Linked DNA regions of Drosophila melanogaster. The protein of the gene in region 2 purifies or fractionates together with the protein of the main gene of each other region. This does not show direct contact. Each region holds a gene or a part of one and is shown on either strand. Other genes may lie near its edges.

Region 1 (14,193 bases), on a different chromosome or scaffold from region 2:
CATTTACATAGAAGGTATGTGCTTACCAACACATTTTTCACATATAACTTGGGTAATGTAAGCATTTATTGTGTTTTTTTTTTTAGGAACCGCTCACTGCGCCAATATGTATGAGCCGGTGAAAACCGATCCGCCACAACTGGTGGCCGCTCGCAACAAGATACTCAAATTCTTGGCCAAACTACTGGATGGCTACACCTCGGCGTTAATCTGATGGAAAAGTGGCCAAGTCAAGTGTAATTTTGTACTCGTCAGCGAGTTGTTTTATTTTTTGCTTTCGCATGAGTTTTATAATATATTTTTCGGCTCCGCTGGGAGTTAATCCTTCTTGGCCTGCTCCATTTTTTCGTGGAATCGCTTCCAGTAGTGCTGCACCTTGGCATTTTGAACGATATTGTGCTCGACAAAGTTGAGCAACCAGGTGGCGGTTAGGTAGGTCAAGTCATAGAAGAAGGCAACCACGCGAAAGAAATACTTTTCGGTCTGCTCCTTGCTAGGCAAGTTGGCCATGACATCCTGCAACTGCTTGGCGGCCGCCTCCTTGGCCTCCGATGCCTTCTTCTGCGCCTCGGTCATCTTGTCCTCGTTCGAAGTGCCCTTGCTGCGCACGATGGTGCTGGCCTCCAGTGGCTCAGCTCTGCCCAGTTTACCGCCTGCGTTCACTACGGAAATAGTTGGCGCCTGCACCTCGCCAATGGGCACATCCTTACGCGTGGTGTTCTCTGGGTTATTGCCCAAGGTGGATGGAAACCCTGGAGCCGCAAATCCAGGCGGCACGTTCTTGGGCTTCTCATCGCCGCCACCTTCGGCGGAGAACTTGCGGTCGAGATTCAGGAACAGAGCACGCGGGCGCACAGTATTGCCATTGAGGCGATTCAATGTGGAGTAGTCTTTATGGTGGGAAAAGGCGTTAAAGTTTGCTAAGAAAAAAACACGTGCCTGCTTCACTTACTCCACGCTGTGACCAGTGGTCCCGCCACCGACTTACTCCATTTGGTCATTACCATGGCGCGAATCATTTTCCAAGTTTAAGCAGATTAAAAATTCTTCACTGAAGCAATTGACAATTTCAACAAACGAATTAATCCAAAATGCCTGACAAAAAGCAGAATGCGGCAAGGCCAACTTGACAATCATCAGCCAGAGTTGCAACTCTTTCCGAAGAAAATCCCATTTTTTTTGGGAAAGAACGCTAAGTTCAAAAAAGCTAAACCTAAAACAAAATTACTGTTTCTAATATATTTATGAAAATAGGCACAAGCTATAGCTCTAAATTGGAATATACACTAAACTAACTGAGCAATGATCAACATAATTTAAGGATCCTAATATTTATTTTACTAAGTTGTCAGCTCTGTAAGCGCACATGAAATAATAAGCAGCATTGGCAGCATTCAAGTACGAATGGTTATTTTGTATAAATTGTCTTTTATTTAGGCTATTACTAAACATATTAGTAAGTTTACTAGTTACATTTTAGGGCTTACAACTCCAGGCCTTAGGTTCACCTTAAATAACGCTGTCAAGCTCTTGGCAAAGAATAAACGTCCGGAAAATGGCTTGCGCCCAAGGAGACACCTCTGGGGATTTCTGGATGTGGTGCTCCCCTTGGTCACCGCCATTAGCCCGCGAAACTTAACTAAATTCCAAAGGGAGCCGATCGGGTTGAGGTTTTAGGATGTACAAAACCCACCGGCTGTCCTTTGTCGAACTTTACATTTGTGTGGTTAGGCTAATGTTTAAATTAGTTAGCTTATGGGTGCAATTTAATGGACACGGTTAACTAAATTGCAGCTGGTTAGGTTATTTGTTCCGCGACTACTGGCAACCAAATCGGTTATTAAAATTACGTGTGTCAAGCATGTAACGCATTTAAAACATATATGGATCGTACGAGCGTAAATGTATCGAGTTCTTAGCGTTTAATGGAAATGTTTATGCGCGTTTTCCTTTAATACTACGACGCCAGCTAAATAATGATGATCTTGTGCTCCGCCGCCCTCTCAGAATAAGCCAATTTGTTTCAGATTGTTCTTGATGATCACATCGGTGACGGCATCGAAGACGAACTTCACGTTGTTCGTATCCGTGGCGCAGGTGAGATGCGTGTATATCTCCTTTTGGTCTTTTCGCTTGTTCAGGTTTTCGAACTTCATGCGAATGTAGTTGGCCGCCTCCTCGAAGGTGTTGGTTCCTAAAAGTATATCAAGTTAAACAAAAATGTAATCGTTTTCTACACTCTTATCTTACCTGTGTACTCTGGGAAGCATATCGTCAGCGGAGATCTCTTGATCTTCTCCTCAAACAGATCCTTCTTGTTGAGGAACAGTATTATGGATGTTTCCACAAACCACTTGGAGTTGCAGATGGAATCGAACAGCTTCAGGGACTCAATCATACGATTCATCTCTTCGTCCTCGGCCAATACTAGATCGTAACCTAGCGAAATATATAACAATTGCATTAGATTCCTAAGATTCGTAGAATATTTGACTTACCTGATAGCGCGACGCAGAAGATTATGGCCGTAACGCCCTCGAAGCAATGAATCCACTTTTTGCGCTCCGATCGCTGGCCACCCACATCGAAAAGTCTGTGGCGAAAAAAAAACATAACCATTAGAATCGAATCAACCGGAAGTGGGCAATTAATGACAACTCACTTGAAGTGCAGCTGCTTGCAGGAGAAGTGTGTCTCGATGATGCCAGTGGTCTTCACCCGCGTGCGTAGCACATCCTGCTGCGTGGGTATGTAGTTCGGTTGCGCGATCCTATCCAGCGAATTTAGATAGTATCCCGCCGAGTCATTCAACTGATATTCGCGCGATCGGGCGAAGCTCTGCTGTACGCCACCGTCTGCCCAGAGTTTCTTCATCAGGAGCACGATCTCGGGCAGCAGGATGCCCTCGTCGGCGGCAGAGGCGTGTGTGAAGAACTGGCGGGCAATGTCCGTTCGGCTCGGATCGGCAAACTCGATCTTCAGGCGTCCCATTGCGCGGATGATCACCATTAGACTCTGCACCGTGTTGCTGAAGACGACGCGACGATACTCCTCGCATTCCTCCTGCGAGTAGCCCGTGTCATGGATGATCTTCATCTGTTTCACAATCGTTGACTTGCCCGACTCTCCGGCTCCTACAAAAGAAATTCAACAGAGTTTATTAGTTAAGGTGTACTATCAAAGTTTATAAAGAATCATTCCAAGGAAGTGTGAGCTCAATATTTGTATGCACCAAGTTCAGGGCGTAAAACTGAATGAATGAATCGATGAGTTCGGTTTCGGGAAGGGGCTTTTAAGTTTGCCAAGGGGAACGGAAGTGGAATTTATGAATGAGACGATCGAGAAAAGTTGCTCAATTGCGCGACTCAAGAGGTCACGCTTAATTGCGCTGGTCTAGTTGAGAAATGAATGAACATCGTGTATATGGTCATTTAATATAGCATGTCGGATTTCAATACGAATCAAATGAACACCAAATAAGGGTCAATAATATTGTGATAACAGATCAAGTTATATGCACATCATCATGCTAAAGATAATCCAAATAGATATATGCATTTTCTAAGCGTACTACTCTGTAATTTATTATAATTTATTAACTTGCATGGCCGAGCCCTGGAGTTCGTTGAACCACCCACCCATTAGTTATCAAAGGCGTTGGAAATTGCGGAGAAAATTAACTGGGCATAATTTTATTCGCCGAGTGCCTTCAATTGTTAAATGAGACCTGACCCGTCAGCGTTGATAAACAACAAACACACGGGCTCGTCTGGGCAGTTTATTATATATGTAGTACTATGTATATTATCTGCTGCGTCGAATGATAAAAAAAAAAATATGAAACATAATCGCATTACGTGCTCGCCAGTTTCCCTTTTCGCTGAAAACTAAAGAAGTTGAAATCGCAGAGCAAATGGGCAAATACAAAAATTGGCAAATCTGCCGGTCCAAGTAATTTCGAATATCTATAGCTATATATAAACATATATACACGATGTTGGGGCATTGCAACAATGGCGCATTAAGCCGACTTTTTGCTGCAGTTGGTAGTTGGGTCCATTCCCAGCCACCGGATGATTAGGTAATTGCCAAAGCCAAAACTGCGACTTTACTTTCACTTTTCTCAACTTTCAGGGCTTCGATACTTGCACTGAAACTTTAATTGTTTTTACTATTCGTACGTATATCAATCAGCCATGGTTGAAGTTCCCTTGGGGCGGATGGTGCTCATTCAATGAAGATTGGTAAGTTTAATACATATGTTACGTACATTTATGAAGATTAAGAAATTCAGCCTATAGTTTTAGGTACCATAATGTGTTAGAATAGGGTCCACTCTAATTGTAATGTGCTGGCCACTGTTACACCTACTGTTAATATATATTACACTAAATGGCCACTGTTACATTCACTGTCAATATATATTACATTAAATTTGTTTTATAAATTTTTTTGAGTTATTGTTAAGACTTCAATTTTAACCAATTCCGAACAATGCTAACTAATTTTGCCACCAAAAAGTGTTGGAGCGAAAGAGACGCCTGCTGAATGCTGATAATGGGCAAACAACGGTCGCCGCATAATGATGAAATTGACAGATTTGAATACGAATATGGACATAAGGCGATGTTCAAACTTGCCACCGTGTGGAAAAAAGTAGCGAACAAAGCAATCCACAAATGAGCGGCTGGAAAAAGGTCAATTTAATAATAACACTACTAACAAAATGCGAAAGAGTGTGTGCGTGTGTGTTGGTGTGGCTGGGCCTTCATTTATCAATGCACCGTTAGCTGTGCCATAACACGCGCCCGGCCGACTGCGGGTGCGAGCGAGAGGCCAACAATAGGGCTGGAGCGAGACGGGCTCAGAACAACGGCGATACGCACAAAGCCGCGTTTACAAGCTCATTATCATCGCGATGGCCACAACCAAACGGTATTATAATTAACATCATTAAACAGTGAATATCGGCGAAAAAAGAATCGGCGGGGAATGCAGGAATTCTAGCTTCTATTGATATATTTTATAGTTGTTAGAAGTTGCTAAAAAAACTTTTTATTATATTTATTAGAATTTGAAATTGTAAACAACATTCAAATATTTGTTCAATTTGTCATAAATGATTAAAAAATCACTATTTAGCTAGATAGGAAATTTAAGGAAGACATGCAGTTTTTACTGCACCAACCAATTCGTTAGATAATTACTTATCGAAATTAGAATATTCATTGGAAACAGGGTGACTAAGGCTACGCCATGCGATGATTTAAAAAAGAGGGGAGAAGAAAGAACAATAGCTGTAGACAGCAAGAGGAGGAGAATCGTAAGAAAGTGTTTGCGCCATGAGTAATCAAGTTAAATGGCGCCTGGCCTCAGTTATCGAAGTGGGAAATGTGTTAATCAGCGGGGAGTGTGAAATTGAGCGGACCCACCGAAAAAGTAAACAATTAAATCAGATGAAATGCGGCCCCAAAACGGAAGCCCCCCACCTAGTAGTGACTTTCACGCAGATCTCTCGATTATCATGAAATTTCCTATATGTGATGTACATACATATGTACATCAATTATTTAACCACATATAGTATATTGACGTACATATGTATAAGGTCGCTCGCTTGGCGATAATTTTGATAAGCCCAATGATACTTTCAGTTTAAATGTGTTGGTAAGCGAGTTCTTAAATAATTGTAGATTATTAAGTTGCTGTGTGTTGACAGTCTGAGTGCCGATTTTGATATTGGTGCGCCAGCAGCATGACACTATTTTGTTTATATATTATTTTCTTCCCATTTTTTTCATATTTTTTTTTTTTTTTTTTTTTTTACAGATATCCGAGTTCTTACTCATGCCCCCCCCATTGGAATTCGTTTTCTCTCTTCGGTTTGCTGCTCTTTCCTTGCAAATATCATCAAAATAATGCAGTAATTCACTATCTTTGCCCTTAAGCACAATATGTTTGGTTGAAAAACGGTTGAAAAAGTTGTGCTTTTCAATTGAAAGGCTTGCGGAAAGGGGGGGGGGTAAGGAAAAGGGGAGAGGCAGCAGAGTGTAATATAAATTGAGTGTCAGCTGAGCAGCTTTATTAAATCTACTCAATAAGCGCAGCGTTGGGGGCTGCCAATTCCGATTCCAATTCAAGTAAGTAGTCGCTGTACACTGGTAGAAATTACCAATAAATTCAATGAATAATATATATATTTATACTAAATTATAAGCAATGTCTTTACTGCATAATTTGAAAACTATATTTTTTAAAGATATTTTTTTTAGCAAACTAGTACATTCTTCTTTTTCTTTCCGTGTAGCCGCGACAGTTGCATTTGATGGCGGGCCCATTTATTTGCGCTAATATCGTTCACCCCACTTGAAATGTCAGCGAACAAACAACGAAGCAGCAACAAAAACAGCCAATTACTCAGCTGGAAGTCGGAGGAAAGCTGCAGCAGCTCGGAGATCGGAGATCAGAGATCGGTTTTCATCATGATCCAGAAATTACAGAACACACGCCCCACAAGGTGCAAACAATTGAATCAAGTGTAAAATGTTGGGCTAAATTTCAAAATGCAACTGGTGCAAGCTGTTTTCTTGGCTATGTAAACCAGAAGCATTTACACTGGTCAACCGGGGGTTTGGACGAAAACAGCTGGGATACTGAATGATAATAGGGGATATCTTTTAATGGGGATGAAAATGGTAGAATTTTCCTGCACCTTTTAGCGGGCATTTTCCAAACCGGTTTACGAGGTTTTTCATTGAGGCAAACAGTTTTCCTTATTATCTTTAAGCCTGCAAATACAGTGGTTACTCACAAACAAATATAGTGCAAGGTGCGGTGGCTGCTGATAAGCTCGATAAATGTTTTACAGTGTAAATGAAAACTACACTATGTTCTAGGTTCCAAAAAAATCATTTACTAATGTGCATCATTTTTTTTTTTAGAAAAATCCTTTTGAAATGATAACATTTGACATTATGAATTAATTTAGTACAGTAAACCCTATATATCAGTTCACTTAATAAAGGTGTAGGTTGCATAGCCAGTCTTTGCTGTACTTTCCAGCCTACCACTCGTTGCCTTAGTCATCTTGGCCCGATTCATTGGCCAATCAGCCGCGCTGGAGGAAAACTTCCACGGCATTGTTTTTCGCAAATGAATGGCAATGAAATGAAAAGTACACACGCAGACGGTGAAATATATCATCGTTCCCATATGCCGTGCATATAAATCGGCGAGTGGAAATTTAATTGCAGAAGGTTGCAACGCAGCGAGGCATTCAGTTTCACTGCATTTGCCGCAGAGGTCGGGTCACCAAAAACCATACATACATCATATATGTATGTATGTATGTATGCATGTATGTTTGTATATGCGATACGATGGCGCCTCGTCGCTTGAATGGTTTTTCCTGCAAAGTGGAAACCGCTGCGCTATCAACAAACATGTTTCCATTGCGGCAATGGGATCCGATTCGATCCACTTGTTGCATCGATCCAAAAGATCTGAAAAGTGCGTGCCAGCAGATGAGAAACGAGCACTGAGTACCGAGAATCTAGAATCGAGTGTATCCGCACAGTCAAACCGACATTTGGTTTCAATTTACGTTCAATTCCCTTATCGCCAACGAATTATTGGACACAGACATTGCATAATGCACGATCTACGAACAGACGGATTTGTTTAGCCCCAAGCAGCCACATAAACATTGGTTTTCCCAGATAAACAGAGCTGCATGGAGTCTACTTACTCCATTCCATGCATATTTATAGTCGAAATATGGGATAGTTGGGGACTTTAGACTTTTATGTTAAACTGTTAGCTAGAATAACATGGTCTTATAATAACGAGTGATCTTAAAAACAAATAAATTACATTTTTCTAATTTTAGTCTTACTAATTCGTTATACTGTAACTCTACTGTATTGTTTCATCCCATGCCTTCCAGCCTTTTCCAGACCCTTTCGCACTGGAAAAGCCGGCAAAAATCCTTGCCCCAACTCACCACAGCCGAAAGCGCAAAGCAACGGCACCCAGCGGATACCCACCCCGCCCAAGCAAAGCGAGCGAATGGAAAAAAAAATGAGGTCACAACGCGAATTTCAGCAAAGAATTCGCAAAGGGGGGAAATACCGGAATAATGCTAGAGAGGTGAAAAGGTGAAATGGAAGGCGAACGCACCCAGCAGCAGCAGTTTCACCTCCGAGGCGGCCCGCTCGCCCTCCGCCCGCAGGGCGCGATCGATGTTCTTCGACCGCTCGATGGCCTCCTTATCGCGTGCTGTACTCACGGCACAACCCATCTTCGAAATATGTCTTTAGCGATTTGTTGCTCCTTTCTCACTTCGCGCACTCTTCTCACACGCGATTTTTCCAACAATTTCGAGATGCGTCTGCGCGTCGTCGGCTGTACACTTTTTTTCTTTTCGTTTTTTGTGTGCGTTTCCACCTCTCTTCCTTTTCACACAAACACACCACACATGCGCAGCGCACGCAAGCACACACACACAAACACACGCACACACACTGGCTTGAAACGTTTTTGGGTTTTTTTTGGAGATTAGCCCGATTGCATTGCTGTTTTCACGCTTCTTGCTGCAGCGGCAGAGCCGATTTAATATTCTTTTGTCGCTTTAATTTGCTTATCCGCTGATTTTGCTGTGCGCAATATGATTCACTTCGCGTCGGATTGGTGTGACTGTTTGCCGAAGTTCACAGATCGCTTGCTCACTGGCGTTAGTGCATTGCACACGATCGTTTGTGTGGCAACGCTGCCGGGTGTGGTACTCTGCTAGCTGCAGTCTGGCAGTACTCGCGGGGTGTGTGACTTGGCTAGCATCTTCTTGTAGGCAACTGTGACGTCACTTTTGGGCGGTAAATTTCAAATTAATTTAATTGATATACACGCATTTTAATTATCGCAACTTTGTAAACTTTATGCTTGAATGCCACTCATATGATCCTGTTTCCGCTGTTCAGTCGTGAGCCATACATGCATTATGCCCAACTTGCCCTTTGCATTTCAGTTTGTTGTTATAGCGCTTTAAGTGTAAATAAACATAGCCGAAAATATGATGTTGTTCTGAAATGCATGCCCCGCCACTCCCCCCTCATCAACACCAATGCAATGTGCACGCAGGCCGTTGGAGAAAAAGTTCTCAGGGCCCTGGCATAAATAATATTTGCCTTTATTTTGGGACAATTCCATTCCATTCTCGATTTGAATCCCAAATGTCTGCAGTTGCATGCGACGCAGGTACAGTGGAGCTCCTTTCTAACAAACTGACAATATTTAGAATCATTTAAAGTCAATTCGAAGAACAGAACTTTTTAAAAAATAACATAAATACGTCAATTCTTAAATAACAAAACATATGAGAACTAAAGAAATTACTTTCGTTTGCACTGTTAATCTTTTTATTTAAACTGAGCTTATATTTTATTGAGCTTATATTTTTAGTAATATTTAATTTCATTTTTTTTAAACTTATTTTTAGAGAATCATGCATATGCAATGATCATATAATTAATAATAACTTTATTAATGCAATAATATTAATATTTCAAAATTTCATTAGCATAATTCCACTTATAGAAGCTCCTCTGTTTTTTTCCAAATCGATGATATTAAAAGAAACTATTTTGTGAATTTTGTGGTATGGAACGTGACGGGGGGGGGGGGGGGGGGCTGGTCTTTCCGCAGCTAATTTATCTAAACAAAGCGATGCGAAGGCAGGAAGACGAGGATGCGGATAAAGATGAGAATGAGAATGAGGATGAGGATGGGGTCGCAGTGCAAAAGTTTTGCCGCCGCCGGAGGACGTCACATGTGGCCACCATCCCCCTCCCCTCCTCAAGAAACACCCCCACCCCCCTACATCCACCACCCCTCCTCTTGCTCTACCATGAATATAAAGGCCATCAACGGGTCATGATTTACACATGTTTACACGAAAAGTGCGGCATTTGCAGAGGGGCGTAGGAGTGGCGGGGAGAGGGACGGTGAGGAATTAGGGGGCATGCGGGGGTATCTGCTGTCTTGTGAATGAATGATCATTTGTGCGCTACCGAACACCCTGCAACCTCTGTAATTTATCGTAAAAAGCACAAGCTAGAGAAATATGGATTTATGCGGTTTTCGCTGCGCGTGCGAGCGAGAGAGAAATACAGTGATGCTGCACTGTGGGTGGTCGCTCTCATTCCATCTCTGTCGCACTTACTGCCTGCAAATGCGGCGCACGCTGCCACATTGCTGCTCTTGTTGTTGTTGTTGCAGTCGGATTCGGAATCGGAATCGGAATCCCAAACTGTTTGCTGATGCCAACAAATTTGACGAATGTCGGCATCATTTCATCCAAAACTTCAATCGCCATCGGGAAAACGAAGATGAATAAGGAAGGAGAACCAAAAACAACAAGCTGCCAGGAAAACAGCGGCTAGAGAGAGAGAGAGATGGATATGGAGGAGCAATTACAAGGATGGGCCTTGAAATAGATATACCGTTAGCCGGGCCACACATACCATGCACTGCGAGAAAATAGTACAATACAAGCAAGTTGATTTCTGGCGAGAATTCGGTTGTGATTGATATGAAATTTGGTATGTGGCTGGTAGATTCAGAAATGCAAATATTTCCAAGTAATTTATAACAATAGATAGATTTAAAACCATGAATAAATAATTTACACGAATTGGAAAATCCTTAAATCTTTAATAACCAATATTAATAGTTTTATATATATTTTATGTAGTTTAACATTTTGAGGATCCTAACGCAAGTAGTTCCTATTTCTCTCAGTGTCTGCGCGCTGAGTTTGGCACATGTGTGCTGTGTTGTGGCCCTGGGCAAACTCAAGATTGAAAAGATTAATTTCCCCGATAATTCGGCAGGCTGGAAAATGTAGTTTCGGACGAAATCTCTCGCCGGCCGTTGAAAGGTGGAACAGACAGGCGGGAAAAGCGCTCATTTTCCACCAAAAATCAGCCCCTTCAATCTGCAGTCTGCCGCCAAGTGAAGTTGCAGTCTGCAGTTTAAAGAGCACTGATGGATTCCTTTGGGCGTCGATCGTCGGATTATCCAATTGATTTTCGGCACTTTTTCAAAAACGACGTCGGAAAACCGACAAGTGGGGAAAATTAATCGACAGGAAAAGTGGAATGGAGTTGGGGAATGGGTTCAAAATTGGTAGTTACATTGCATTGATTGAGGATATATGTATATATTGGTAATTAAATATATAGTGAAACATGTTTTGTTGCTGTGGAAAATGCCTAATATATATGTATATTAATCAGCATGGAAATCTTTCGTCCGGTTTCTTTCCGCCAAAAGTTCCGATCCATCGATTGTCTTGTAAAGAATTAACTAATAAAAGTGATTTATGTTTAAAACATCTATGTATTTACTTAGCACAGCTAACATGAAAGATACCTCAGACCGCGAGTAACCCCAATTATTCAATAAATTCCGAAGATTTGCCAGCGAAATGAGGCCGCAGAATCGTAAAATCCGAGCGAATAATCTCTTCGACTAAAATAAGCCGCATCGCATTTGTTTACACTGCGATAACTTTAATAACTAGCCCAAAAAAAAAACATATATTACACCGATTCATTCGATCAATTCAAAAGCAGCCCAAAGCAACAAAAAATATAAAAATAAATGAATGGAGCTGGGGAAAATAGTATTTCAACTATTGAACCGACAAGTGTGACTATGTCGGTATATATATATATCTCACTTTTGTTTACATTCCGCAAAGGAAAACCCGAAAATATAGATCTTACATGGCCATACGGTTGCAACCTGCAGTGCGGAGAAAGGGGAGGGGGGAAGAAACGCTTCGCGGCAGGAAACAAAAGTCACTGGCGGTGCAATTGAATTGCCATAAAAATGGAAAGAAGCACCAAGAAATCGGGCCATATCCCAACCATATCCACATCCACCCACTCACGGATGTTGGGCTTCTGGATTGCGGCTCATCTTTGTCATGCATCTGAGTATCTGCGAGATTGGAAAATCGCAGTTCGTGGATTGCAACTATGGTTGCAACTGCTACGTGGCACCTTTTAAGTACCTGCCAGCTGAGATTGTGCAGTTTTTCCCCCCAAACAAATTTAAGATAGTTCCCATGATTCAGTGAGAAACAATTGCTTTTATCTAACAATTTGGTTCGCTTCAAATTTAGATACATCTCGCTGCTGGTCATTCTGCCCTTCGCCGTCGAATTTCGATGCCTGGCATTTTCAGACATCGTAAACCGACCAGGGAAATGGATGTTGTATCACTTGTCTAAGTCTGGCCATCGCCTGTGCCCCTCCAAAGCTATTTTTGACCGATTTTAGTTGATGCTTTATGGCTTTATAATGTCTGTGCACGATCCGTTTTATGAGCTGCCCGTAAAATGGACCCGATTCATCTGGGATCTCCGGCAACAATATGGTAATTTGCTGCCCATTATATGATCTTCAATGGGAACGGGGTAGCTTCTTTAGCTGCAGACTGTAAGGGTTTGGAAAGAAAATCTATATTTTCGAAAATTGAATGTATACACAGAGCTAACCATTTGAATTTCCTAACTAAGATCTCTTTGATTCCTCCTCCTCCTGCTGGCCAAGATCCTTTTCATCCTTGCCAAAGGACTGGCACTTTCCCAGCAGTTTGCCAAAGAGTCCTTTCTCATTTTCCACCGCCGTTTGATGGCGAAGGATCAGCAAAGTTCTGCGGCACTGCAGCAAAAGTCGGGACATGGTTTTTTTTTCTTTTGTAACTTTAATTTTGACTTAGGCCAAAGCAGCTTGAAGTTTGTTTAAAGGCCTGCTGTGATTTTGTTTAAGGGGCTGAAATGATTTATTCGAACTCTGCTACTTTTTCTTGCACTCATCTTTGGATTTGTCTGAGCCGCCGGGTTTGTTTTTGCAACGTGGTGAAGTGGGAACAACAGCTTTGCAAAAAAAAATAAAACTCAAAGATTAACAGGATTCTTTTCTAGTGATATCGTACCCACTTCTGCCACACATATCCTTCTTCTTTTTGTCTTTCTTCTTTTTGGAATCGGCACCCTTGCAAGAATCCTTGCCCGAATCCTTCGGCGATTTGGCCATTAGTCGTGCGCCGAAAACGCCTTCACTCAATTTCATGAGCGCCAAGCTGCGCACTTTGAACATGATTGAACTGAATAATTTTTTATCAAATAATTTTAACAGAAATTTTGGTAATATAAGTGTCCAAACTGTGTGCTGAACTGAGTTTTCAAAGCTACTGCTTAACACAGAAATCAAGGGATATCTGATTTTCCATTGAAAAACTTTCTTCTCTCCTGCCAAAATTGACTGGTCAAAACTATATTTAAGCCATAATTTTTTGCTGAATTGTATGGAAAAATCGATTAGTAATGTGAAACATGACTGATTTGGCTCTCAATTGCTTGGCTTGCATTTTTTTTGTTTTGGGTTTCGGTTGCATTTACAAGCCGAGAGTTTTCAGTATCCCGTGGCTACCGCTTCCAAAATCGAACTCAAGTGCCGACCACACATTTGCCACGAACCTCTGGATTTTTTTTCTTTTTTTTTTTGGGCAAAGGGAGTTGGAAATGCGGGGAAAATCGGGGAAATCGTCGTGGCGGCGCCACGTCAAAATATTTGTCGTCAGCGCCTCAATTGCTACGATTTATGGTGCGGATAATTAGGCGACTGCTGCGTCAGGATGTCGCCGTTGATTAAAATGAAAAGAAAAGGGAATTTTCCAACGCTAAAACCACTTGAACATGATCTTAGTTGGGGGTTTTGAACTTGTTCAACTGTTTACTAATGATCCGCTGCTGATGGCTTGTCAAGAAAATTGACTTTGATTCATTGCTGCATGGTTAAATCCATCAAAGGGTAGAGAAAGTGAAAAAAAATCCTTCAACTGCACTATACCGATCACAAGAAATCATTAGGCTGATTTTACCTTCGGCACGTGAAAAACATTTAAGCAAATAGTTTCGGCATTCGACTGTCAAGCGGTGGAAAACACAATTCCCCCCATGACATTTCAATGTTGAGCAAGTGAACTTTATTTTCCCGCGCATCCGTGTATTCGTATATTTTTAACCCCACAGGTGCGCTGCCCTCGAAGGCCAAAGACTGAGATTCGTAAAAAAAAACGATTCGCGTCTACAAAAGCCCTGGAAGAACAAAGCAAACGACACGGAAG
Region 2 (11,685 bases):
AACACATAAACTAAACGCATACACGGGCGCTCGTGCAGCTTGATACAGTTACAGTTACAGATCCAGCACGCAATTCGCGGCCAATTGAAACGATTCAAAGATCGCGAGTGGAATAGATCGGAGGCGACACCAACACACCAACACAACAGCACACAGACGTACGCGCACTGTGGCAAGAGGCAGCGTTCTTTGTTGCAAATTACCGTTGCATCCACCTTTCAGCGCCACCCCCTCCATCGGCCTCACCGATTCGCGATCCACGATCCGCCTTCTGCCAACCGCCGCCAGCCAGTTGCTTCCAGCCAGTGATCCGATGCAGACGTTTCGCTGAAAAGGAGCGCACAGCCAGAACAGAAGAAGAACCATGTCGGCGGTGAACCAGAAGGAGAGTCCCAGCCGGGACTCGACGGCCTCCACATCCGGGCACATATCGATGCTGGCTGACAACACATTGGAATCGCTGTCGCGGGACTACAGCCTGGGCAGCTTGAACTCGGCGGGCAGCCAGGATGAGTTCTTTCGCTGCCGAGACCATGCGGACAATATACTCAAACGGATGCAGCTCTACGTGGATAGCCAGCAGCTGTGCGATGTGGTCCTAATCGCTGGCATCGATGGAAAGAGGTGAGAGCACTGAATTCTGATCCTGGAACTACGATTCCTGGCGTTCCACATCACTGCGATCGATGTTGGAACGATGGTCGGCAAGCAGCGGGGATCGGGATCATGGAACTCCTAGTTTCCAATGCCAATTCCCCATACCCTTTCCACGGAGACAAAGGAATGGAATATGGCATTTCAAATTGGAAAGTTCATTAGCGATTCCCTCCCGCTTCCCCTTTATCCCGTCCACCACCTAACCCACCTCCGCCTTCCCCTCCTCCTGCCCCAGCTGACCTTCACTTGGGTTCTTTGTCTGCTCTCTTTGCTTTTTGTTGTTGTGGTTGTGTTGTGTTGTCCCCAACGCAATTTCAACAGCGCACACTCACACGCAAGATAGTAGCAACACGCAAAACCAGGAAATGCAGCTGCGGCCACAATAATAGCAACCAAGAAATGCAAATACAGCTGTTTTACAAATAATTGCAAGAAAAAAGAGTTTAACAAATCTGGTTTTCACTTTTGAGTGTATACTTAATTTCTATTTGCACAATTGCTCATTTTAGGTCGGCTTTAATTCACTTATCTCAGTGAGCATGCTGACGCACAAAGTTAGTTTAGTGAATTTTATTATTTTGACAGTAGCTGCATATCTACAGAATTAGCTGTGCATCTATAAAAGTTCAAAGTTTAAAAAAGATCCAAAAGTATTGGTTAATACTCAATGATTCGTTGTTGGCAATATTTTGACAATCGATCGAGTTTTATTGCATGTTTACTTAGCATTCGTTAATGGTAAACTTCTCAGCGTTTATTTTTGCATTGTTTGGAATTACACTATAGTTTATGTCTAGAGCCATTCATTTTTTGCTTGTTTGCTTATCAGCAAATGTGCCGATAAGCAGACCATTTGTTTATTACATCAATAATGATATCGGTTTGGATAAACTTGATTGGAAGTAATCTTGGTAAAGTGAAAAAATAACAAATTACTTGCATTTATCCGTTTCAAAGATACTAGTGAAATCCTTAATGTCCTTCTATTGTGACCGCTGCTGTGCGCATTGTTGCAATAGGAAGATAGGGGAAGAGAAAGACGGAGCAAAAGAGATCCCCATTTCGAGCTCCAAAGAGTGAGAAAGAGAAACAGAGGGTCCCCATTATGTAGATTTTGTTTTTGTTCGTCGAACAATGGCGATGCAACGCAACTGAGAGGGAAGTAACCGTCTCAGAAACAAAGACGAACACCACGGAGAGGCAACAAAAACTGCAGCATGGAAAGATACAGATACAACGATTCGCGATCCAAGTGCAGTAGTTGCAGCTCTATTTGATTTCGCTGCACTCAACCGGTTTTGGATCGTGAAAACCTGTCGATCTGTGCCATGGTAAACAAAGGGAAAAGAACCCACCAGCGTACAGTTGCGGTCACGAAAGTAGTGACACCACAAGCTAATATTTTTTTTCGGATTAACTCTTGCGAAAGTGTCCACAATTCAAGGATTTCACTTGGCTCTTTCAGGGTGCCCGCCCACCGCCTGGTGCTATCGGCGTCGAGCGCCTACTTCTCGGCCATGTTCACGGGATCGCTGCGCGAGACCAAGGAACAGGAGGTGACCCTCGGTGAAGTGCACGGCGATGCACTGCATCTGCTGGTCCAGTACTGCTACACCGGGTTCATTGAGATGCGCGAGGACACCGTGGAGACGCTGCTGGCCACCGCCTGTCTGCTGCAGCTGAATGCCGTGGTGACCGCCTGCTGCAACTTCCTGGCCCGCCAGCTCCATCCATCCAACTGCCTTGGGTTCGCCTTCTTTGCGGAGCAACAGAGCTGCACCACGCTGCTGCGTCTGGCGCAGGCCTACACCTGCCAGTACTTTATGCAGGTGTGCCAGAATCAGGAGTTCTTCCAGCTGAACGCCGATCAGTTGGGCAAGCTGCTTAGCAGCGATGATCTCAATGTGCCCTCGGAGCAGGATGTCTTTCACAGTCTGATGTCGTGGGTGCGCCACGATTCCGCTGCCCGTGAGCAGCACATACCGGAGCTGTTGGCCCTGGTGCGACTGCCCCTACTGCAGCCAGCGTTTATCATGGACCACGTGGAGAACGTTTGCAATGCCAACGAGTGCCAGCAGCTGGTTATGGAGGCATTCAAGTGGCACCTGATGCCCGAGCGCCGATCCCGGATAGCCACCGAGCGAACAACGCCGCGCAAATCCACGGTGGGTCGTCTCCTGGCCGTCGGCGGCATGGATGCCCACAAGGGCGCCATCAGCATCGAGAGCTACTGCCCGCGTTTGGACAAGTGGACACCGTGGAAGCACATGACCGGTCGTCGACTGCAATTCGGCGCTGCTGTCATGGAGGATAAACTGATCCTAGTGGGCGGACGTGATGGGCTAAAGACCCTGAACACCGTAGAGAGTTTGGACCTGAATACAATGGCCTGGGCACCGCTCAATGCCATGGCCACACCCCGTCATGGACTGGGCGTGGCGGTGCTGGAGGGTCCACTCTATGCGGTGGGCGGTCACGACGGCTGGAGCTACCTGAACACCGTGGAGAGGTGAGAGGGCAATGAATTTGATGAATTGATGGATATGTACATATATGTATAATTGTGCAACTGAGTAAACATTTTCCAGATGGGATCCCATAGCGCGCACTTGGAGCTATGTGGCACCCATGTCCTCGATGCGTTCCACCGCCGGCGTGGCTGTCCTGGGCGGTCGCCTGTATGCGGTGGGCGGACGTGATGGTTCCGTCTGTCATCGCTCCATCGAGTGCTACGATCCGCACACGAACAAATGGAGCCTACTGGCGCCGATGAACAGGAGACGCGGCGGCGTTGGCGTGAGTATCCTCTAAGCATATCCTTAGTGGTCTTTCTCTTAATTACCTGCCCTACCAGGTGACGGTGGCCAATGGTTTCCTGTACGCCTTGGGTGGCCACGACTGTCCGGCCAGCAATCCAATGGTCTGCCGCACGGAGACGGTGGAGCGCTACGACCCAGCCACCGATACCTGGACTCTGGTAAGCTGGGATTGGGTTATGTGGTTCCCTCAACCTCATCCTCACTTCTAATCGATGTCATCTCATTCCACAGATCTGCTCACTGGCTTTGGGCCGGGACGCGATCGGCTGTGCCCTGCTGGGCGATCGCCTGATCGTCGTCGGCGGCTACGATGGCAATCATGCGCTGAAGAGCGTCGAGGAGTACGACCCGGTGCGCAATGGATGGAACGAGCTGGCGCCCATGGCTTTCGCAAGGGCCGGCGCCTGTGTGGTGGCGATTCCGAATGTCATACCGCCGGCGGCTCAACAGCCGCCGCCCAGTGCTACAGTTTAGTCCAAACCCAATCCACTTTCGGTTGCAGTGTAGGCTCGTTAATTGCATCGCTTATTTCGGATAGAAGGGCCAGATGTTTGGAAACGATTTGCATTTAGCACCCAGCCAAATTTATACGCGAAATTCCTATTAGATACCCATTATTTGGGTAGAGCTTTATAAATTGCATTTAATGTTAGTAAATTTGTCAAGATGTTTCGCTCGGCAGTTAATGCTGCACACAAACTGTAGATTTTATACCTTTCTTGCATTAATCTTAAAAATCCAAACATTCCACGTTTACAAAAGATATTTTCCCAAATTTACCAGTTCATGTAAAGCATTTCCATTTACTTGTAGATATTAAGGAACTTTAGGAGGCAATAATCAAAAGTAGTTTTATAAGTAGCGTGGTCTGAAAGCGATGCACTTAGCGAGAGAGCACTGCACCCGTTCTATAGTAGTTGTTGTTACTGTTGCTGTGAGCTGCTCGTGGTTGTTGCTCGTGTTTCCTAACCCGGCAAGTTTGAAACTGCAGCTCACCTTCGCCTCGCCTCGCTCTCGTCTGTGTTCTGACATGATTCCCTGTGGTATGGCATACACCCAGAACTCACCCACTTTCCGCACCGCACACCCCAACCCAGTATTTTCCCCATAACTCTGCTCTTTTCGGCTTGAATCTAAAAATAAGTAAATCAAAAAAAAAATAAAAAAATCAGTGAAATCTCATAGGATTTAAGAAGTGCATGTTGCGAGGCTTCCAGTTCCAATCTAAAATCGATCCCTAGCTGTAATTAACCAACGTATTTTACACGATACCCTAGTTTCTAAAAATTTTCCATCCCACTCACACCCCATGGTGTCGTACGCTTCACACACTGCACGCCATCTCGCTCGCACCGGTGACGGGCCCACATTCCATATGCATAAATCGTATACACATACTTATATCCTGACAAGACTGCGCCAAGCCAAAATTCCAAAAACCAAAATTGCTCATTTTTGCATGTGAAGTGTGCGAAACCATTAGAAAAACAAAACAAACAAAATCAAAAAAAAAAAAAACGAACGAAAACAATCAAAAAGACAACTGCAATTGCTTAGTTTTAGTTAGTAAATACTTGTCCCATGGAATGATTATATTTCGACTTTTGCATCGTCATTTTGTACCGATATTATTCTTAGTAAATACTAGATGTGTGTGTGCGTACAGCGAGCATTTATTTCTAATTGTTTATTATGTTTTTATTTCTTTCTTTTCCCTTTCCCTTCGATTGCATTTAAAAATTAAAGAAAAAGAAGAAGTGGAAGCCAGTGAGATTGGATCCAATCTGCTATAATAGGCGTCCCAGATGTGTCGAGTTTGTCGACTACTATAACATGTAAATGCTAGACAGACAAGACAACAAACAAAGCAAACTATAAACATTTAAGCCAAGCTAAAAGAAAAAACACAAGAAAACTTGTCAAAAAAAAAAAAAAACAATCCAAATATTACGTATTATTTTATATTTACACATATATATATTTTTACACAAAACATACACTGCGAAATGTATACACTGGATATGTATTTTTTGTAATAAAATCGAAAATTAAACGGTTATTCGCTGCATTTGAAAAACCGAACATATAAAATAATACTATTTTGTCGGTTAAGCGGGGATTGCTCTTTTAAATGGGTAACTTCAAGTTTCTTGATTGTATTTAAATATTTGAAATAATATATTTAAATTATCTAACTTTCTGATTGGAATACGATTTTTTTTAGAATATTAGTGGTAAGGGCGTACCGATAGTTGGCATTCGATGGTTGAGATATCTGGCAACGCCCCGTAGTATATTAGATTAGAACGGCAAAGGTGCGGTCACACTGGCGGAAATTATAAAAATTAATTAAATTAACTTAAACGACCTAAAAAGCGAACTCAACGACAGCTTTGAACGGCCACCGTTGGCGACATGGAAACGGAGCACCTGAAACGACTAGAGGCCAAGGAGGCGGACCACATTCCCGCCATCCTGGACGAATTCAACACAAAGGTGAGCACTGCCAGCGGTTTCTCCCGAAGATTCAACCAGATTATATACCCTTCCTTCTGCCGTAGAATGCGGATCTGCTGGTCTTCGACAGTTTCCGCACAGACAACCTGTGGCACGAACTGTGGCTGGCCATCTTCGGCATATTGGACGACCAGCGGCTTAGTCATCTGCATACGCAGTGCCTGAACACGGTGAGGATTCTAACGCGTGACGAGTTCAGCCTGCAGACGAACTACATCGAACAGGAGGTTAACACCCTGCTGAAGCTGGCTAGGATTGAGGCCGGCTCACTAAAGCTGCCAGCCACGCCGGACGAGCTTAAACAGGAGGAACGCGAGGAGCCCCAGCTGGAGCCCAGCCAGGCCCAATCGGAGGTGATTGCCGAAGCACTTAAGTGTCTGTGCAACTTGGTCTACCAGAGCTCCGACTGCAGGCGCCAGTGCCTGCGGCAACACTGCCTGGATGCAATCCTGAAGAGGGTGGCGTCCTCGATGCGACATCCCTGTGCGTTGGAGTACTACGACATGAAGCTCCTCTTCTTGCTCACTGCATTAGAGCCAGCGGCGCGCTCTCGCCTCCAAATCGATCTGAATGGCCTCACCTACATGACTAAGTGGCTGGACGACAAGCTGGGCGAAGACTCAGTTGGCGAGGAGCAGCTGAACATCATCTGCGAACTGCTCAAGGTGATGTTCAACGTGACCAGTGCTCCGGACAAGAGCCCCAACGAATACGAAATCCAGAGCTTGCATTTGACGGGAGTGCTGAGGGAGCTACTCCTGCGTTTCGGCGACTTGGCCACAGAAAAGGATCGCGCCGTCGTCACACACGCCATCAATCTGCTGACAAACATCTCCGGCAGCTGCCTGACAGAACTCACCCTGCGTTGCTCCAATGCCGAGTTGGAGTCGCACAAGGAAAGAGAGCAGGACAACGAGAAGGAAAAAGATACAGAAGCTGGAGCGGGAGCCAAACCCCGTGAGTGCTGCTCGCAGTGCTTCGAAAAGCGCAATGTTCGGAGTCTGGACGTGCTACTCCGCTACCTAAGGCAATCTCTGGCCCAACAGGAGGCCGAGGCTAGCTCGCATGAGTTGCTTTCCCCAGTGCTGACCGTGCTGGTGAAATGTGCGCGCAGCGATCGAGTTATGCGTCACTATCTACGCCAGGAGATTCTGCCGCCGCTGCGGGACGTTAGTCAACGACCTGAGGTTGGTCAGGAGCTGCGCAATCATCTGTGTCGGTTCCTTACACTGCCCGCGATGATCCTACGAGATCTGTCCGCCGAACTGCTGTTCGTACTGTGCAAAGAAAATGTCGGCAGGATGATCAAATATACGGGCTATGGCAACGCAGCCGGGCTCTTTGCCAAGCGGGGTATACTCGACTGCCGGCGAGTGGAGGGCACCGACTACTCCTCCGACAGCGAGGACAGCGACACCGAGGAGTACAAGCAGCAGCAGCAGGGCATCAATCCAGTCCTTGGCTGCGTAGAGCCGCGCAGCAAGTCGCATCTGGACGACATAAGCGAAGAGCAGAAGGAATACGAGGCTATGCAGCTGGTCAATCTCATCGAACAGCTGCGTCAGGGCGGGATCGTAAAGCCGGCGATGATAGACAAGGACGGGCGCCCGCAGCCGCTGGAACACATCCTTCAGCTGCAGGAGGAGCTGCCGCAGCAGCAGCTCGACCAGAAGCGGAAAACCTAAGCCACAAATGTATTGCGGGATCTGCTATGGCACAACTTCCAAATAGCTACCAAAAAATCACCTTAAACTCTGCATTTATTCCATAAGTTTACTGTCGAATGTAGCTTCGAATGTGTTCAAAAAGCAGATTTTTTTTTTTACATAGTTTATATATTTTATACCACATATTCGAGAACATCTCATTATAACCTACAATTTGTTAACCAAAAATTATCCAATCTGGCTTTGATTTCAGTGATCAGCTTTTGTCTAAATGCCATTATTATTAGTGTTAGCTAAAATAATTATAATCTATCCAATTAGCTTCAATTCGTAGATAAGTTCGGTCTCCCAACTTTTACAGAATTTCTTTAACCATTAACCATGTAGAACGTTGTACTTATTAAGTTATTACGCACTTCGTTGTTATTTTGTTGTCCCGTGAATTGTTCGCACTTTTAAAGTTGATACCATGGCATCCCATAACGTACGGCTTGAAAAAAATAACTAAATGCAAAACAATCGTTGGGGTCTTCCAATTTCAGGAAGTAGGGAGCAGATGAACATCAAATCTGAATTCATTTAAATACACGCCCACACTATAGGACAACTAGGACGACTTTTCATTTTAATAGTTAAGTGCATGTATGTATTATATTTATAAAATTCCAATTATACACTTAGGATCTAGGAATGAAAGCTCTTATTCCGATTCTCAGTTTTCTATTACAAATGATGTTGCATGTGTGTAACACTAACTATAGCTCTAGAATCGAACTAAACGAACTACAAAGTCTATCTATGACAGACGGCAGTGAGGAGCACTTGAAGAGCCATCAAGTTGTGGATGTCGACACGGCCATGCAACCAACTATCCCATCCGCACATTGTTCATGTCCATGTCTAATCTATGTTGTAAATTCCGCATAATAGGGTAAAGGAATAATTCCAAAACTTTCTAAAAGTTACGTGTCTTTGATCTATATACAAGAAATCCTATCTAGAGCTTTATTGTGTTCAATTTGCTATAGCGATGATACTAGTAGATCAACTTATATACATCAAAACATAGTAATATTTTTTGTGCGAGTCTAAATGTACGGCTATCCTAAGCTTAACAATAAAATAAATCAATCAAGGTCATGCTATAATAATCAAGCCACATATTTTCCGATTCATAATGCTTTGAAACTAAATTTTAATTATTAATATTGAATCAGAGTTATAAGGATCGACTCCTCTCCGGCGAGGAGTCCGCCTCTTGAATGTCGCCCTCCATGGGCCTCATGTGATCGAAGCGAGCAATGTAGCTGGGTTTGTGGTGGCGATGGCGGCACGCCTTGTGGCAGTCATTTGGGATTTCTTCTTGGTCATTCTGTTCCAATTTTCGGCGATACTTTTCCTCCTCCCTGCGCTCATCCAACCAAAACAGCTCGTATATGCGGTCGTGCCGCTGGAGTTCATTCGCTCGCTCCAGATCTTTTTCCTTCTGCTTCGGGGGGGTGTATTTGAGAAAGTAGTCGGCATACTTGCTGTCGTTGTCCCGCCCCGGGGAATGCACCGGCTCCGATCCGATCAGCTTTATCGAGTCATTCTGCTGATCCTTCGACAACGATTCATCCGCCTTCTTTTCAGTATGCCCACACACCTTTTCTTCTATCTTCAAGGGTTCGCTCTCCGCCTCAATGCGGCGGCACTGGTTCTCCTTTAGCTTGAGCTCCCGGTTAATCTGCCGCCTTTCCTCCCTCTGCAAAATCTCCATCTGCTGGCGATGCTCCGCTTCTGAGGGAAACCTATCCCTTGTGAAGTAGAACATGCTATGGTGTCTCTCTTTGGGTTTCTTCTCTTGGCACGTCTTGTTTGAGTAGCGATTCTTTGGAATCATACAAGAGTCCCATTGTATCATCCTTGAAGGGCTATCTTTGATGTTGTCCTTCTGGGTCTGAATCGCAGTTTGAACATGGGCCTTCGCTTCGGTATGGAATTTACGTTGAGACTGTGCCTGCGATTGCACTTTGCTTTTCTTCTGGCGAGCCGCGGCTGCCGCGGCCGCCACGGCAGCCAATTCCCGTTGGATCGCCGCATTTTTGTGTTGGCATATGTGCACAGATTTTCGCTGTGCAGCAGGAGCAGTAGCAGCAGCAGCAGGAGGAGCTGCAGCTGGAGGAGCAGAAGCAATAGAGGCTTTCTTAACTGCAGACTCCATGTGGTTGATCTCCTTCGACTGTGCCTTATGTGCAGAGCCCAGCAGCTTAATGTTCTTGCGCGACTGGGTCACCTCGACGGAAGATGGCTCCTTCTTCCATTCCGCCGGGCTCGTGGTCGATTGTTTGGCACTCATTGCAATGTGGTGGGATTTGGATGAGTTGAAAATTTGTGATTCGGCAGGCAGTTATGTGAATTATGTTAATATGTATGGTTGGGCTGGGTTTAGTGGGTCTGCTGTCATGGAACTAATATTACACTTAACTAAAGGCACACTTAGAATTTTGAATATTCACATTCTCATACCACACAGACAGGAATTTTTAAAACTATTGTGATTAAATGAAATTTGTGGTTCGAAATGAAGAATACTGACTGAGATACCGCCTCCAAATCGATCTAAATGGCCTCACCTACATGACCAAGTAGCTGGACGACAAGCTGGGCGAAGACTCCGTTAGCGAGGAGCAGCTGAACATCATCTGCGAGCTGCTCCTGCGTTTCGGCGACTTGGCCACAGAAAAGGATCGCGCCGTCGTCACACACGCCATCAATCTGCTGACAAACATCTCCGGCAGCTGCCTGACAGAACTCACCCTGCGTTGCTCCAATGCCGAGTTGGAGTCGCACAAGGAAAGAGAGCTGGACAACGAGAAGGAAAAAGATACAGAAGCTGGAGCGGGAGCCAAACCCCGTGAGTGCTGCTCGCAGTGCTTCGAAAAGCGCAATGTTCGGAGTCTGGACGTGCTACTCCGCTACCTAAGGCAATCTCTGGCCCAACAGGAGGCCGAGGCTAGCTCGCATGAGTTGCTTTCCCCAGTGCTGACCGTGCTGGTGAAATGTGCGCGCAGCGATCGAGTTATGCGTCACTATCTACGCCAGGAGATTCTGCCGCCGCTGCGGGACGTTAGTCAACGACCTGAGGTTGGTCAGGAGCTGCGCAATCATCAGTGCCGGTTCCTTATACTCAAGGCAATCTGGCACAAAAATATGGATCACTGCGGGTTTTTGTACGAAAAAACGTTCCGTCTTTATAAACCCAATAGAAGTTACAATATAAAATAGATAGAAAAGATCTACGACAAAAAGAATCTTCACTCATTGCATTCGCGTTTCAAAATATATGTATGTATATTGTGTCAAGATTGGGACAAATATTCTAGGACATATCAGTTGCTCTCCGGCAAGGAGTCCGCCTCCTGAATGTCGTCCTCCGTGGGCCTCATGTGATCGTAGGGAGCATGGTGGTTGGGTTTGTGGTGGCGATGGCGGCACGCCTTGTGGTGGTGAACTGGGAGTTCTTCTTGGTCATTCTGTGCCAACTTGCGGCGATATTTTTCCTCCTGCCTGCGATCATTCAGCCAAAACAACCCGTATATGCGGTCGTGCTCCCGCTGGAGTCCATTCGCTCGCTCAAGATCATTCCAATTCTGCTGTGGGGTGGTGTATTTGAGAAAGTAGTCGGCATACGTGGTGTAGTTGTCCCGCCCCGGGGAATGCTCCGATCCGGAATCGCGTCCCCCACTGTCCGGTGCGGGGTTGAGTTCTTTCCCTATTTCCTTATATGCTGTATAGTACTTAGCTCTGTAGGCGTGGTCCAGGTCGAGATTATCGTACTCATTGGTCTCGTCGCGGGCCAAGAACTCTTGCACCTGGCGCTGGCGCTCCTTTTCTTGCTCCTGGCGAAAGATCTCGTAGTTTTGGGATCCGGGACCACCAATGCCCTCCGGCAGGGCTCTTCTGTCATCCTCATCCTTCTCATCACTCTCCTTTGACCGCTGCAGCTTTTTCAAGTGGGTGCTAACGTTCGCATAGTTAAGCAC

What was found.
Region 1: the proteins of ric8a (region 2) and Galphai purify together in Drosophila melanogaster (affinity purification with western blotting; 2 studies listed by BioGRID). This does not show direct contact.

What each region holds. Positions count from the first base shown.
Region 1 is NT_037436.4:6,971,340-6,985,532, forward strand, and holds Galphai (G protein alpha subunit i), read right to left. Parts: upstream 8,706-14,193; 5' UTR 8,300-8,705; coding exon 8,179-8,299; intron 7,884-8,178; exon of another isoform or gene 6,308-7,883; intron 6,141-6,307; exon of another isoform or gene 5,830-6,140; intron 5,668-5,829; exon of another isoform or gene 4,983-5,667; intron 3,135-4,982; coding exon 2,663-3,134; intron 2,594-2,662; coding exon 2,499-2,593; intron 2,440-2,498; coding exon 2,251-2,439; intron 2,195-2,250; coding exon 2,004-2,194; 3' UTR 1,411-2,003; downstream 1-1,410. Other genes in the region: CG9953 (uncharacterized protein), read left to right, coding at 1-14, 87-214; CG10063 (uncharacterized protein), read right to left, coding at 319-890, 953-1,019; CG43439 (uncharacterized protein), read right to left, coding at 12,576-12,746; CG32388 (uncharacterized protein), read right to left, coding at 12,861-12,940, 13,004-13,163. UniProt on the Drosophila melanogaster protein: Guanine nucleotide-binding proteins (G proteins) are involved as modulators or transducers in various transmembrane signaling systems.
Region 2 is NC_004354.4:9,250,406-9,262,090, forward strand, and holds ric8a (ric8a), read left to right. Parts: upstream 1-5,762; 5' UTR 5,763-5,891; coding exon 5,892-5,972; intron 5,973-6,037; coding exon 6,038-7,678; 3' UTR 7,679-8,797; downstream 8,798-11,685. Other genes in the region: CG17754 (uncharacterized protein), read left to right, coding at 365-624, 2,123-3,166, 3,246-3,453, 3,512-3,634, 3,708-3,944, 5,223-5,315; Erk7 (extracellularly regulated kinase 7), read right to left, coding at 11,032-11,685. UniProt on the Drosophila melanogaster protein: Chaperone that specifically binds and folds some, but not all, nascent G alpha proteins prior to G protein heterotrimer formation, promoting their stability and activity.